Linked DNA regions of Alligator mississippiensis. The protein of the gene in region 1 purifies or fractionates together with the protein of each later gene. This does not show direct contact. Links are inferred from orthologs where the notes say so. Each region holds a gene or a part of one and is shown on either strand. Other genes may lie near its edges.

Region 1 (7,380 bases):
TCTCATGTATCAGCATCCCCGTGCTTAAAATGTGGTGGCAGGGGCGCTTTATCTGAAGCTCATTCAACAAGCTTTACATAAAAGTGCCCCCACCGCCATTTTTAAGCACAGGAACGCTGATGCACAAGATGCTGGAGGCTGCTGGAGCGTGGTAATTACCATGATAGAGTCTGCTCCGATGTGCTGTAATTACAGTGCATGGGAGCAGCCTTGCTGCTCATGTATAGGCACCCTAAAGTGTCAAGCATACTTTGATGTGGTGATTTTTAAGTGTTTCATCAGATACTTTTAGAATCTTTAACATTTATATGCAACACTTAAACTTACCCTACACATTTTTAAGTTGCAGAAATTGCCTTTGTGCCACCATACATTTTTTTATGGCACCATAAAACCTGAGCTAACAGATGTCTACGTCCTTTGTCATGCCACAAAATGACCAAATTTGTGGTTGTGACAATTCACTGAAATAGTTTTGTGCTCTCCTCCGCGCCCCCCCCGTTAGTTTATGGCTAGTGAGCGTGGGAAGTCCAGGGCTGCCTGTACTCCTGGGATACATTCTCAAACTGCCACAGGATTCAGGCCCCTGCCACTCCTAGGAGCTCAACCTGTGGGACAAGTGACATCAGTTTTTTCTAATCAATCAGAACAACTGTGCTTGGACATATCCCAACAGAGCTGATAATGCAATGAGAACTACTTTTATTTTTAGCCTCAGGGTCCTATCTGTTTGCTGAGAAAGGAGGGTTTTACATAAGTCTTTTCTGTCTGAAAGCTGGGGTAAAGGAAGGGGCTGGAAGTGCAAAATTCCAGTGTGCAACCTGAGTCTCAGGAAGCGATATTCCTGACAGCCTGAGGAAATCTCACTAAAAACAGAGCCATAAATGATGGTGATAGTGACTGCATCTCCCAATGTCATTCACTTGCTAGAAAAGAGTCTGCCTAACTTATCTGAAGTACACTCCTACTGCCTAATTAAGATGGCTCTCTTGTGCCATTCTTCTTTGACCCAAGAGCATAATCTGCATAATGTAATAATATATTTAATGTCTAGTTACCTTCCAGGATAAAAATGGAATTTTATTTTAAATGGTTTGAGAGAACTTCTAGCTAATCACTAAGTATTTTGCTTTATTAAAATCTGATTGTATCCATACCTATGTCTCCTACACTGTGTTGTTGGAGAACCTATCGGTCTCACACTTCAGGGGGGGGAAAAAAAAAAATACAGTCATTTATGGATTTCAAATGATCTTATGGTATGCTTTCCTTTTAAAGGAAAGGGAAGATAACCCAGCATGGATGGTTCGGGTCAGTGCAGAACTGGGGAGGAAAGGAGAGGTCAAAGATGGCTAGTCCCCAGATCCCAAGCAACCATTCCAGCATGTGGGACCACCAATGTTAGGGAAACCCAGTCATGATCTTTTTCTCAGATATTATCCCAGCAGACATGCCAGCTGCCTTCTTAGTAACTGTAGGTCACCCAATGATTTCCCAAAGCAGAGAAATGTTCACTGATGTAGAGAAGTCAGGCTTAAGGCTGTTCTGTTTCAGTAAAGCAGCTCCAGCTGCTCTTTGTGCATGGTCATGGCAGAGTTGCCAGAATACTTGTATTTCCTCAAATAACCTATAAAATGCACAGACCACTACAAATATAGATGGACGGAGGGATGCAAATAAGGTACTCGAGTCTCCAATCGAAAAGTATCATACTTTGCATGTGAGGGTATCAGCAACCAGAGGTTAGACGATTCACATAATAAACTTAACTCGCTCACACAATGAAAAAGGAGTAAGCTATCAGAGATGTTCTTAGACTTAACTCTGCAAATAAGGTCTCCCGCTTAAATGAACAGGAAGTCTCATAAGTTCCTCTCTTCACCACAAGGCCCTATTAAATTTGAGCCATCAGTCCCGCCTAAGGCCACGGCAATGAATAAACTAACACATTTAGAAGCTGTTCTAAAATGGCTGATGCCATACACATGTGTATGATGCAAGAGCTAGCAACCAAATTGAAAATAATTTTTACTAGGGATGGTGCCAAGTCTTTTATTCTATCACAAGCAGGATGTACCCCTCTCGCTTCCCTTCCATCACCAGCTGTACGTGTGGCCTAAGCAAGGAAGGCTGTGCAGGCAGAGGTGCTTTCTGCCCTTGGGATGCTGCCTGAGAGATTTTTCCTGCAGCAAGGGTGGGGTTAGGCAGACAAGGCGGCAAGAAAGAAAGAAAGAAACACGCACACACACACACACACTTGAAAAAGGGAACAGTGAAAGGAAGTCGGCTAAACTCGCAAGTCACGCTTGCACGTGTGCGTTACACCGTGACATTGCCCATTACCTTGCAAGGCAAGCAAGTAGCCATAGGTCTGGGGCTGGACCCTTGTCTTTATGCCGCACGTTTCTACAGCGCCGGGCACCTGGCAACGACGGGAACAATACCCCACGCATCGGGCCCCACACATGTGCGCCAGTCTCCTCAGCTCTCCCTTTCTTCCGCCTCAAACAAAAACAAGCCAGGAGGAAACTACCCAACCCGTGTGCAACCGCCTACAGGCAGCCCCCCGGCGAGAAGCCAGGCCCGGCCCTCGCAGGCATCTCGGGGGTTTCCGCCCACGGGTGAAAACACCGGACAGCCGGTCGGGCATCATCTGAATGCCAACAAGGAGGGGGCATGGCGGAGGCCTACCCAAAACTTCCTATGCAATGATGGGGGGGGGGTGAAACCTGAGTGCCCCGCGCGGGCCGTCTGAGGGAAGGAAGAAGGGGGCCGGCGAGGCGCGGGCTGAGGCGGGAACCTGCTCAACCCGCCTCGGCGCCCAGCAGCGCGGCGACGAGCCGCACGTGGGCCCGCATTGTGTGCGCCGCTGGGGAAGGGGCAGCCCGGCACTCGCCGCCCGCCCGCCCCGGTTGCATCATGCGCCGCGCTGCTACGCGGGGCAGCCGCCACCCTCAGCCCCACGTCCAGCTCACCTGCCGAGGCGGCGCCTGCTGCTGCTACTGCTGCCAGAGCCGGTTGCAGCGGGGCGCGCGGGTCTTGTGCACCTGGGCCGGGCGCTCCCCTTCTCAAGCAGCGGGCGGGGCATAGCGGCGCGGGCGGGCGAGGCGGGCTCTGCTACTGCGCTTGCGCCGGCTGTGGCTCCCTGACTTGTGTGCTGCTTCATTTTCTGACCCCTGCTTCAGATGCTCCTCTGCTTTCCGCTCCGTCTCCATGTGCTGCTTTGTTTTCCTGTGCTCCCTGTCCCGCCCCCCCAGCTGCTGCTCTGCTCTCCGCTCCCTGTCCCATGTGCTGTGCGGTGCACAGAGCCTGCGCCTGCCCCTGCCCCTGCCCCTGCCCTTGGTGGAGACAGGCCCGCCCCGGCCCACGCAACCGAACCTAACACTGCCCCGGTGGTGCTCGCCCTTTCCGCCCAGGGAGTTGGAGGGACAGCGCTCAGGCCAGCTGTGGGCCGGATCCGGCCCCGGCTCACGTGGAGGAAGGCAAACAGTCACATGGAGGGGGGCAAGGGGAAGGGACGCTGCTGTGTGGGGAAAGGGCGCTTGGCCTAGCCCTGCAGCGGTGGGAGGGGGCATAGGCCTGGCCCCTGTCCAGCTCGGGGGCCCAGCTCCAGTCTTGCCCCAACCTGGCTATGCGGAGGGAAGAGGACATGGCCCGTCTTCCACCGTCCATGCTGGCCTTGGAAATTGGGATTTTGGCAGTAGGGGAAGGTGGCTGTATTAATTGCCATGGCTCTCCCACTGCCAAATTTCCCAACCCACGGGAAGTCCTGCAGGCCAAATGTCACAGCTCTGCAGGCTGGAGGTTGAGCACCACTGCATGAACAGAGTAGCATCTTTTTAAAAGAAATAGGCAGGAGTTAGACAGAGCTGGTACCTGCTTCGACAAATCTGTGGCATGCCATCATCCTGGTGGTCCCATTAGTTTATGCAGAGCCTAGTGGGGGTCTTGCATGACGTTTCCCTGCACAGGCTGAGGAAATATCTAACTACTCAGGGGTTTCCAACTGAGGTTTGTGGATTGCACTGGAGCAGTTCAATTAGAATTTGATGTTTCTCAAGAAAATTTGAAACTTGACAACGGTCTGTCGGTCTAAAAAGCTTATGAACTATTGGTCTAGATAGATTCACCATATAATGGCCATACTAACTATTGGATTACAGTTTTCAAGTCATTTATCAGACTGCATTGTCAAACTGAGAAGACATTTTAAATGAGATTCTACTAAGAAGGGGGGGGGCGTTCATCTTGGGTTCTACTGTATTTAGTATTTTTATTAACCATTTAGATGAGTTCATATGTAAGATTTACAGATGAGAGCAGGCAGGGAGGGTTTGTAAGCAGTTTGGAGGGCAGGATTATCATTCAAAATTATATTGATAAATTGGAGAAATGGTCAGTAATCAATCAGATAAAACTCAATGAAGATAATTGCAAAAAAGTACTGCTCATAGGAAAGAGAAATTAAATGGATCAGTGCAAATTAGGAAATAATGGACAAAGCAACTGTATGGCAGAAAAGGATCTGGGAATGATAGTGAATCACAAACTAAATACGAGTCTGCCATATTTGGAAAAGCGCAGGCTCAGGGGCAATCTGATGGCCACCTATAAGTTTGCAAGGGGAGTCCACCAGGATCTGGGGGAACGTTTGTTCACCAGAGCGCCCCAAGGGACAACAAGGTTGAACGTTTATAAACTCCTACAAGACCATTTCAGGCTGGACATAAGGAAGAATTTCTTTACTGTCCGAGCCCCCAAGGTCTGGAATAGCCTGCCATTGGAGGTGGTTCAAGCGCCTACTTTGAACGCCCTCAAGAGAAAATTGGATGCTTATCTTGCTGGGATCCTATGACCTCAGCTGACTTCCTGCCTCTGGGACAGGGGGCTGCACTCGATGATCTTCCGAGGTCCCTTCCAGCCCTAATGTCTATGAAAGTCTATGAAATACCATGCATTTGGAAAAAAGGCAAATTTCATTCTGAAATCTATTAACAGAAGTGTTAAACATGTAAAACGTAAGAAGTAATTATTCTACTCTGCTCTGCCTGGTGAGGCCTCAGTTGGAGTACTACATCCAGTTTTTGGGAATCAGATTTTAAGATTGATACAGAAAAATTGGAGGAGAGCAATCAGAGAAAGGTAAAAGATTTGGAAAATATCATCTATTAGAAAAGGCTGGAAGAAATTGATTTGTTTAGTCTAAAAACAAGAAGACTAGGGATGCAGGAATATGCTGCTAACAGTCTTCCAATATTTTAAAAGTTGCTATAAGGAAGATGCTGATCTATTGTTTATCTCATCTAATAAGTAGGACAAGAAGTAATCAGCTTAATTTGCAACAAAGCAGAATTAAGTTGGATATTAGGAAAACCTTTTTTAACTCTAAGCATAGTTAAGTTGTAGAGGAAATCTAGGGAGGTTGTGACATCCCTGTAATTGGAAGTTTATGAAAAGATTAGACTAACATCTGTGAGAAAGTCACCAGGAGAGACTCAATGACCTGCTGAAGCCCCTTCCTCTTCTATATTTTTGTAATTTAAAGACTCAACTCTGCAATATTTGAGTCCCTTTCCACAATAAGTCATACATCCTTACCTGGCAGGGGAAATACCATGATCAACTAGGGCGGTTTTTCTAGGGACAGGGGATAAACACTTTTCTGGCATGGGGTAGTATTTGCAGAGGTAACATATAGTTACCCTCCCAAGTTCATTGCCCTCGGGGAAGATCTTGGCTTTACGTCCACTTTATGGAAATGGCAGACTTTTCCCTAGCTTGCTTCTGCAGCCGTATGGCTGAGGGCAAGTGAAACTCAGGGGCATCTGAACCCCAAGCCTTGGGCCTGCACGTAGGATGTCCACCAAATGATTTGGAAACACTGAAGCCCCAGGTAGGGGTGGAGGATGTTTGCCAGTTGCAGGGCCACATATGGTTCTTGAATGACTTACGGATTTGGAATTGATTTGGCTTGGAACACGAAAATTTTTACTTAAAAAAAGGTCATACATCCTGAAATTTCAGGATTTTTTCCTCATCTTCCTTGAAAATGGGAGTTAAATTGGTTTTATTTTACCTTTCTCCAAGTTGGTAAACCTTGTAATATACCCACTTGAGCAAATAAACTTAATGGAAATAACTGGAAGATCTTTCCTTCTTTGGTGGTAGTCTCATTATTCATGCTTCCTGGTTTATTCTACTGCTTTTGTTCGGTTTCTGGCTTGGTAAACACAGGAATTCAGTAGTAGATCATCAAGGAACCAGAAATAAAAGACAGATTCCAGGAAAGCTGGAGTTGGGATGAAGAACACCTTTAATTCAAACTGTGTTTGAATTATTCAAAAACTTTATAAGCCAAATTTTATTCTCACAGCCTAATGAATGTGGAGAACACATACTGAAGTTAATGGAGTCACTCCAGATTTAGAGCAGGATAAGCAAGAGGAGAATGGCATCCTGCACATTTAGACAATTGTATGGGAATGACAGTGTCCCAGAATATGCTCTGCTGGATTTGTTGGAGGGGATATTGTAATATAAGCACTTGCACAGTAATATAGGACTGTTTTTGTTTCTGAGGCCAAGATCTATAGTCTCACCCTCGTCTCTGGTAATGTTCTTAGAAAAAGTGGAATCCATACCCTATAACTATTTTAGGGCACTCAGATGATTGTCAAAATTGTTATTTTACCCTATGTTGCTAATTTCATTCTTTCACCTAATAAAGCACTTGGACTCATTTTCTCATTCATCTCTCAAAATGATCTCCACCCATTAGGATTTCCTGGGTGTGGTGGATGGATTCCTCTGTTCATTTGTGGAGAATAAGGTGATGATTTTATTGGAAAATGTTTCATTCTTTAAAAAAAAAGCACTCTGTGCATGAAAAAGACCTTTGTACAATTTGCTCTTGAAAAAAAACATTGTTTCTGGCAAAACTGTATGGCATATTCTAAACTGTAATAAGAGCTCCTTGGCCAAAAGTCCAAGTACTTAAAGGTCCAGAACTTGATTTTGAAATACTTTAAGATCAGTCAGTGGTTTTCCCCATGAATGCTGCATACTCTGCAACATAAATTCTGTATCCATGTCCTCTTCCTCTTGAAAAAAAAACTTTTAAGTACGGGTTACACGTTGGCAGATTTATCAGAACAAGCAGGACAGTCTTAAATTTTAAAGGAATTTTAACATAGAATCACAGAAAATTAGGAATGGAAGGGACCTCAAGAGGTTATCTAGAGCAACCCCCTACTCAAAGCAGGACCATCCCCAACTAGGACTTTCCAGCCAGGACTTTGTCAAGCCGGGCCTTAAAAACCTCCAAGGATGGAAATTCCACCACTCCTTTAAATAAGGTGCTTAACTACCTCCCAGTACTTC
Region 2 (8,526 bases), on another chromosome or scaffold:
GTGATAAATCAATTGAAAAAAACAAAACAAAAGAGACAACACCCAATTTAATTTACCAGCTCCAGACCCAACTTGATATTTTCATAGGCCTTTCAGTCAAAATGCAGTCATTATTCTCATCAGTTCATGGGCTCACTAATCTTCATTATTTTTTTTCTTAGGTTTTTTGTTTATTTTACCCTTCAAGGTCCATTGTGTTGGATCAAAACTGATTATTTCAATATAGGGCAACTGAACTCTGTACTGCAGTGAGGTGAAAATGGCACTAAAACATCCAGACTATTTTCACAGTAAAAAAAAAAAAACTTACGAGTTCCCTCAGGTTTTATTATTATTATAATATTTAGATTACATACATGCACATGGGGTGGCATACTTCTGCATGCATCATTGTAGTAACAGGCCTCTCATATAAAAGTACTTCCTAATCCAGAGTATAAACAGCCTAATAAGTTGTTACACAGCTCTAGTTTCTCCTCCCATGCAGCTCAAGAACCATTGACATGTCCCTTACTAGGCACCATTTTCCGTTATATTTTAATATCAAGTTCAAAATAGAGATTACCCCCTTTTCCAAGAGATAAAAACTCCATCAGTAGAACAAAGTGATTGGATTCTTGTCCTGAAGTTGTGCACTGAGTTGTGCGTATTTTAATCCTCTAAATATGTAACCTAAACGTGTCCAATGTATATCTATTAAGGTGAAGTAAAAGGAAGTCTTACCAGCAAAACCCTTTATTCCCACAATGCATTATGTTAATCCTTTTCTGCTGGGAGTTGTATTTTCTTGGCGTGACACCCATTGCCAGCAATGGATGTAGGGCAGCTAGTGGTGCCAAGCAGTTAAAAATACACTTTTATGGAATTTCATTAATCCTTGACTGCTTTATCAACAATGTCTATTTAAACTATCCCAGTGTGTTCTTCTTTCTTTCTTAACACTTGTTTAAATAATCCAGCAAAAAGACAAACCAACCAAGCAAAAGCAAATTATTCTAACTTTCACATATTAGTAACATATTGTTAAACTGAGAGGTAAAAAACTCATAGATAACTCATACAGTCAAACACTTTTTAAAGGCTTCTGATTTCCAATAGCTAGGTCAGTGGGTCTTAAACAAGGTGCACTGGCACCATGGGGTACTTTGACATCCTTTTCAAACTGTGGAGCTATGGATGCCACAAAATGTTTGTACTATGAGGTATGCAAACATGATTCACAAGATAAACCCAGAGTTTTCATACAGGAATCTATAGTGTTAAAAATATTCTGACCTGCTCTGGTCTTTTTGAGTTTTTGCAACAGAACTGCTGCATTATTTTTCTGTAGTCAAAGAAAGGGTGAAAACAAGGAGCTAGCATTTTCTTATGGGTGCTGAGTCTACAGAGAAGCACCATGAGTTTACAAAGGTTGAGAATCACTGACCTAGTCTATGAATGCCACTAACCTTTATTTTGAGTTCATCTCTTCCAGAAGTTGGATACAGTTAAACTTTCAAAAAGCAACAGAGTGTATAGGTATGAATGAGATCTCTTACTGAAGCAACTGTTTAGTTGGAAACTACATAAAACAAATTTTCAGCCATAAAGTGCCCTTCTTCACTTTATACCTGAAGCTTACCTAACATCTCCCAACAATGGTTGGGTTCAATAAAACATATAAGCAGCAAGGGGTTTTTTGAGATGTCAAAATAACCCCTTGCTTCTTATATATTTCCTAGACAGGCTACAACACCACTCCAACACCATTACAGTAAAACTTGTCATTTCACTAAAAGTCCACCTCCATTTCTAACCAAAAAAACCTAGAAACTGTCCCTTCTTTCCTCTGTATATGTACAAGCCACAAATATTCATCTGTTAAGAAATATACTATAATGAACTAATATGGATAAGGTTACCTACCTAAAGCGCGAGGTAACAAAATCATGTATAGCCTAACCCTCTGTTCTTTGGTATTTTAGAAGTCCTACTGCACCCCAATTCATGGTTACAATAAAATGAACTGAGTTAAAAACAGCATCTCCTCATTCTGCTGAAATTATGCAGCCCTTTAGTGCTTCTGAAGTCTGACATTTACTATACCCCTGGAAAAGTACTGTTAGAAATTAAAAGTAAAAATTACAAACATAAGGGGAAAGGGTTAAATTTACACAGTTTAACAACTTTAGCTCTGAACAGGAGTCCTGCAGTAATTCCATTTACTGAGCAGAGGTAAATAAATCCTGCATTCAATGAGGGTGAAACAAATCATGCTTCTTGCCTGTTACACACAACCCACTGATTTCACTTGATTTGGTTTAACCCGCACATTTTTGAGTACTCCTCTTCCACCTCCACATGTCTGGATTAGGTCCAAGCCTTATTAAAAAGTTTGAACTGGAAATAAGGGCGTTTCAGATAAATATGTCCAGAAGCAGGGAAAAGCAGAGCTGGACTTGCTTCCAGCACCACAGCTGTGCCTCAACCTCCAGCTGGGCTGCACAACACACACACACAGGCCGGCAGCTCCGACAAGTCACCAACAACAACCGTCTCTGGCTTTTTTTTCCCTTCCCTTTTTGCTCTTTTGGGAAAAGTGCATTGAGACTCCCTAGAAATACACATCTCGTCCCAGCCCCAACCCCCGGCGCTGGCTCTCCCTATGCAGAATTTCCGTCGGAGTGAAGCGTGAGGCCCTGGCCGCTGTCTCCCCTGCTTACAGCCTCTTCCGCACAGTCCCCCCGGAGTCGTAGCAAGCCCGTCAGACAGGATTTGCAGACACGTAAACACAAGGGCCATGTAGGAGAAGCCACCTCGCCGTCCTGCCGGTCCCAGCGAGCTCCGCACTGGGAAGCGGGTGGGGAGCGGCTTTCCCTTCCCAGCTCCTGGCACTGTCATCGCCTCCCTCCCCTGCCAGCTCCACCTTTGTTCCCCCCGCCATTCCCACAGCCCCCCACACGCTGGCCCGGCCTGGCCCAGCCCGGCGCGGCGCGGCGCGGCGCAGCTCACCGAGCTTGCCGCGGGACTCATCCAGCTTCTGGATCTGGTTCTCGATGAAGAGCACGGCCAGGCCGAAGGCCAACACGGCCAGCAGCTGCAACTTGGGCGGCAGCATAATCCTGAGCAGCCCCATCAGCAGCAGCAGCAGCAGCAGCGCCGCCCGCCCGGGATCACGACATAACGCGGGGCCCGGCCGGGAAGAGCCGCAGCCGCCGCGGGGACACAGCGAGCGAGCGAGGCCAGCAGGGAGCGGGACCCCGGCGCGCGCGGAGGGACGCGGCTCTCACATCCCCGCCGAGCACCGCCCGCCCCCCGCGCGGCCCGGCCCGGCCCCGAGCACGCTCGGTCACCCGCGCCCCTCCCCCCGCCTGCGTGCGCTGCTCAGCAACCGAACGCCCAGCCGCGCGCACGCCCCCGCGCCCTCCCATTGACCAGCCACGCGCAGAGCCCGCCCCCACGCCCGTCGCCATTGGGCAGCCTCACCGTCGCCCCGCCCTCGCCCGACCCCATTGGGCGGCCCACGCAGTGACCGCGTCCACAAAAACTCCCCCACGAACGTCCGTAGGGCCCGACGCCCCGCCTACATGCGCTCCTTCTGGATTGGATGGGCTATGCCGTGGTCCCGCCTCATCGCTCAGCTAGTCATAGGGGCGCAGACAACCGCATTCGGCCATGTCTTGTTGCTATTGGCCGAACTGTGCGTCAGTCGTGTGAGGGTTGACGTTAGTCCGTTATGAGTGGAAGAACGAGAAGGACCTTCCAAGGACTGTCTGTTGTGATGCCCAATGGAGATCGGGATCCGCCACCTGCATAACAAGCTTCTACCCTGAGTGGAGTTTCTTGGTTGTAGTCAGGCGTTTCCCAAAGGCAACCCTGGGACAACGGTTTTCCTCAACGACGCGAAGGGCTCAGGGGCACACTTTGGTTCTCCCGCAGCAGGCGGCGGGAGGGCACCCTGAGCGGGCGAGGTCCTGACGCGGCCTTGCCGGCAGTGGCGGTTCTGCACTAAGATGGCGGCGGTTGCCGGAGCGACGGGCCCGGGGCGCCTCTGGCTTTGTCTCCTGGCGGCGCTGCAGGCGGTGAGGGCCGGTTCCAGTCTCCTCGTCCCTGAGCTGCCGGGCGGGGCGCCGCTCGGGCCGGGGGAGGCTGCAGCCCGTGCACGGGGCAGGGCGCGGGCGGGCGGGCGGGCGGGTGAGACGTGGCCGCTCGGAGAGGCGGAGGAGCCGCCCCAGGCCTGCCCGCTCGAGGCCAGCCGGGCGGCGAGGAGCGCCGGGGCCCTTGTTGTGCTGCGGGTGGCTGGAGCCGGAGCAGCGCCCGCGGATGCTACCTCTTGCAACCCGAGGTCGCCTCGGCCGCGTCAGGCGGGCACCGTGAAGTCCCTGCAGAAGCTCCCTGTAGCCCGCTAACCGCCGCCTTAGCCAGATGAAGGGCTTTCAGGCTTTTCTTCCCTGCTAAGAGTGCCTTATGTGCCCCAGAATTGGCAGGTCCGGGACAAAATTGTTGCTGTTTAAAATAACTGGGGTGGGGGGGCTCTATCCGATATTGGAGGCCTAGTTTTGCCAGCTGGGACCTTACAAAGGTCCAGCAGCCAGGGGCTGAGATACATGCGGGCAGCATGGGACACCAGAGGCACCCTTTAAGCATCCCAAGGGGTGGGCAGCTGCAAACTTCAAGAGCTCACAAGCTGCCTGAAAGTGGGAACATTAAAAAGCTCCTGGGCTGCCCCTGCCTGTGCTTTTTAAACTTCCAAACAGAGCAGTAGCCAGGGCAGTGTTGGTGGGTCATGGATGGCAGCCTGCCCTGCAACCCCTCAGTCCCCTGCCCTCCTCCAAGAGGGAAAGTGACTGGCTCAGGATTCTTGCTGCCCACATGTTGCCACCAGGATGGCAGCAACTGTTGGGGGAAGCCCACCTGTGAGTCCTTTGAAGGAGTGAACCAAGGAGCCAGAGAAAGTGCCGTTTTGTAACTTCGTACAAAAAAAGTTGTACGAGACTCGCAGGAGTTTTGAACATGAAGCTGCTGATAGCACTTCATTTTCCATTTTTGTAGTGCTACAAAAAGAAACATGCTGGGCCCTTGTCCTGTCATTGTCCCAGCTAAGAGCTGAGACCCTGTTCTCTAAAACTTAACTCATAACTCCAAAGCAGCGGGGGAAGAAAACTCGGACGTTCCCAAGCATCTGAGCACAGAAATTGTAGGACTGCACAGGAACTGTAGGATCCTTACACATCCCTGTACTGAAAAAAATAAAGAGTAGAAAAGGAGTCAATAAAATGTTAAATCTCCTTAGCCACTCTTTTTACCCTGAAGTGAAGCTTTTTCACATGTAGACCTGTGCTGAAATTAATAGTCTGTTCAAACATAGACCAGCCTTTGGTGGCCCCAGCTGATAAAACATTGGCTCTCACTAGTATCTGATTTACATTTGGGTACTAATTCTGAGTTGTGGCTGCTGTAATGAGTTGAGCCCTTGAACAGAACCTTATTTAATGTCCCTCTCCACCATATATTGTATGTAGAATTTGAACCCACACAGTGAAATTAACAAAAAATATGAATACTTCTTACTTTTTGAGAGCTTTTAGGTGTCATTGGACACCTAGATGTAGTTAGGTACTTTATGGATTGGTGCTCAGTCTATTTCTAGTAAAACCATTGTGTCCATGTCCCATTTGCATGTTCTTACCTTTGCCAGCTGGAATCTAGCCAGGATTGGTGCTGAAACCCAGTAAGCACCTCAGCTCTGGATATTTGAGTATGAGAAATGGCTGGGCACCCTACCTGGCTCCAGCATGCTGCAAGTGTTAATGCTGAAATGTGGAGAGTAGAAGAGAGCCAAATGTGCTCTGGGGCAAGGCGGGGGTGGTCTCAGATCTTCTGTTGTAGTCTGAAGAGAGACCTGGCACAGACTCAGTTCAGTTGTCACCCAGCAAATGTGTTCCATAATGGAGCAGAGACTTACTTGTAGCTTTTTTTTGACAATGGCTATTAAGCAGGAGTGACAAATAACCTGAGAGCCTGGCTTTCTCATGACATTCTTCTCCCAGTTCTACTGGCCTAATTAAAGCTGGAGGGGGAATAGGCAAGGCAAAGTAGGAGGATCACAAGTAGTTGGTTTGGGTGAAGTGAAAAGAAAAGGCAAATTATATCATTTAAGTGTGAGGAAAATAGATGAGTTTCTTGACTATTGAGCATTAACCAGAATTAATACTGTGTGTAGAGATTCTTAAACTAAAGTGATCATCATAATTGATTACCAGGGATCCAGGTTTTATGTTGGCTGCAGGAAAGTGAGGATTTTCTCCTTTAACAGAGAAAAATGTAGATTTTTCTTATTTAAATGAGAAAAACACAGATTTCTCCTCTAAAGGAGAAAAACACGGGAGTTCAAGCCTGTAAGGAGATGCTTGGGGTTGAGGGGAGTGAGGGCCACCAAGGTGAGGTGCAGTGTTGGCAGCAGCACGGAGTTGTGTCCCTGCTGGTGCCAGGTGCGCAGGGGGTGCCTCACCTTGGTGGCCATAGTGGCACTCCTTCCTGTGCCAGGTCCTGCCCACTGGGCCATGGAGGTGACTCCTGTCTGGAGCTGGAGCTCATCTGGCTCAGCTGTAGCTGGCACCCCATTGTGGGCACAGAAATTTCAGGGGCGGGGATGTGCCCCCACTCCCCTCACATGTCTCTTGTGCTTACACCCTCCCCTTCCCCACACACTGGCGGGTTGGGAGCGGGGGACTGTAATTCAGGAGCGAGGGGCCCAAGCAGGACCAAGGGGCTGTGGGACAGAACTGAAGGGCACCAGCAGGGCTAGGGAGCTGTGGGTCAGGAGTGAGGGGCACCAACAGAGCCAAGGGGCTGTGGGCTGTGACTGAGGGGCACTGGCAAGGTCAGGGAACTGTGGTTCCTGAGTGAGGGGCATCAGCAGGGCTAGGAGGGTTATGGGTTGGGGAGTGAAGGGCATCAGTGGGGCTAGAGGAGAGGTGGGGGGCAGGCTGTGGCTTGGGAGTGAGGAGCAATGTAATGGGCAGGAGCAGGACACCAACATATCAGGACTGCTCAGCACAACAAAGCAGCAGGGGGGACAGATGCAACTGGACCCATGTCCTGGTGAGTGAAGAGGGTAGGGACAGCTCTGATTTTTTTGATTAAAAAGTATCAAAGGCTAGAATACATAGGTATATATAATTTAATTCACAGAGAAATGCAGATTTTGGGTTTTTTAATTAGCAAATTTGGGAATTTTATCAGAGAATTTGGCATTTTTAGACAGCAAACCAGGATCCTTGTTGATTACCATTATATTAGAATTGTAATTTGTTTTCTACATACATCCCCCCCATAGACATATAATTACCTTTCTCCTATAACCTTAATACAAACTTGAAACTTTGCTTGGATATGTTCTACCTTAATTTATTATCACTCAGTTAGAGCCCACACCATTCTAATATTATAAAAGCCTAAATCTGTTTGTCCGTATGCTTTATTCACGCTCTGATTGGCTGACAGACAGCCCTGCTCCCTGCAGGTAACATGGGGGGGAGTGGGCCCGGGCCCGAGTGGGGGGAAAAGCCAGCTCACCATGGTGGTGGGGGGCGGGAACAGTGGGTCCAGCCCAACACAGCAGTGGCTGGGGGAGGGAAGGAGTGAGCCTCCTCCCCCACCCCTTGTCCCCTGCATCAGCCCCAAACCCATTCTTCCTGTCCCTGAGTGGGCCTGATGTGGCGCACTGTGGCATCAGTGGTGATGGTGAGGCCAGGGGAGGACTGGACTCAGGCCCAACGCGGGTAGGGGAGCAAGCCTGAGCTGGGAGATAAGCCGGCTTGCTGCAGCAGTGAGGGGTGGGGAGGGGCATGGGAGAGGGAGACAGTGGGCCTGGCCCAGCCCAGCCCAGCCCAACATGGCAGCTGCAGGGAGAGGGGAGGAGCAGGCCACCTCCCCCAGTTGAGCCCAGGCCCACTGTTCCCTCACCCCTGCTCCCCCATGTCAGCCCTGAGCCCGCTGCTCCCGTCCCCCCGCACTGCCGGGTTGACCTGGGCCCAGTGCTCCCCCTTGCACCTCCGCCACAGCGGCCCAGCAATTGGCTAGTCACCACATACTTTTCCAAGCCCAGCTGCTATGCTATTTGTGTTCCTAGGAAATTGAAATTAACCTCTAAGCAGTGTGGTGTGTGTGGCCACACAGGCGCACTCATACCATGCTGCCAGGCACCTGTGCACCTGCACATCTTAGAGGGAAAGCTGATTAGGAGTGTATGCAAAAATAGACTTCAGAGAGGATAGGGTTCTTATTATGTGTATATCTTTAGTGGCTTCCTGACTTTTATCTTCTTGAAAATAGGAGACATTATTCTTATGGGTAGCACAGTTTTAAGGATGTCACTAGGTTTACAAACACTAATTTAACATCTCATACAAAAGGTTTACATCTAAATAATATGTCCTAGTTCAAATAAGATTATTTGTATCATAAAGAATAGAACTCAAGGGTCAAGACTTGTTTCCTGCCAAATATATTCTTTTTCCACAAGTATAAATAACTATTTTAAAT

The links. Proteins that work in one complex are often made in the same cells at the same time.
Region 2: the proteins of SLC7A1 (region 1) and HS2ST1 purify together in Homo sapiens (co-immunoprecipitation; 3 studies listed by BioGRID and IntAct, counting the BioPlex papers as one, with this or other methods). This does not show direct contact. The link is inferred for Alligator mississippiensis from reciprocal best matches to the Homo sapiens genes SLC7A1 and HS2ST1.

The regions. Positions count from the first base shown.
Region 1 is NC_081824.1:426,704,218-426,711,597, reverse strand, and holds the start of SLC7A1 (high affinity cationic amino acid transporter 1), read right to left. Parts: upstream 3,219-7,380; 5' UTR 2,976-3,218; intron 1-2,975. UniProt on the Homo sapiens protein: High-affinity, low capacity permease involved in the transport of the cationic amino acids (arginine, lysine and ornithine) in non-hepatic tissues.
Region 2 is NC_081828.1:29,692,240-29,700,765, reverse strand, and holds the start of HS2ST1 (heparan sulfate 2-O-sulfotransferase 1), read right to left. Parts: upstream 3,335-8,526; 5' UTR 3,116-3,334; coding exon 2,992-3,115; intron 1-2,991. UniProt on the Homo sapiens protein: Catalyzes the transfer of a sulfo group from 3'-phospho-5'-adenylyl sulfate (PAPS) to the 2-OH position of iduronic acid (IdoA) or glucuronic acid (GlcA) within the heparan sulfate (HS) chain and participates in HS biosynthesis.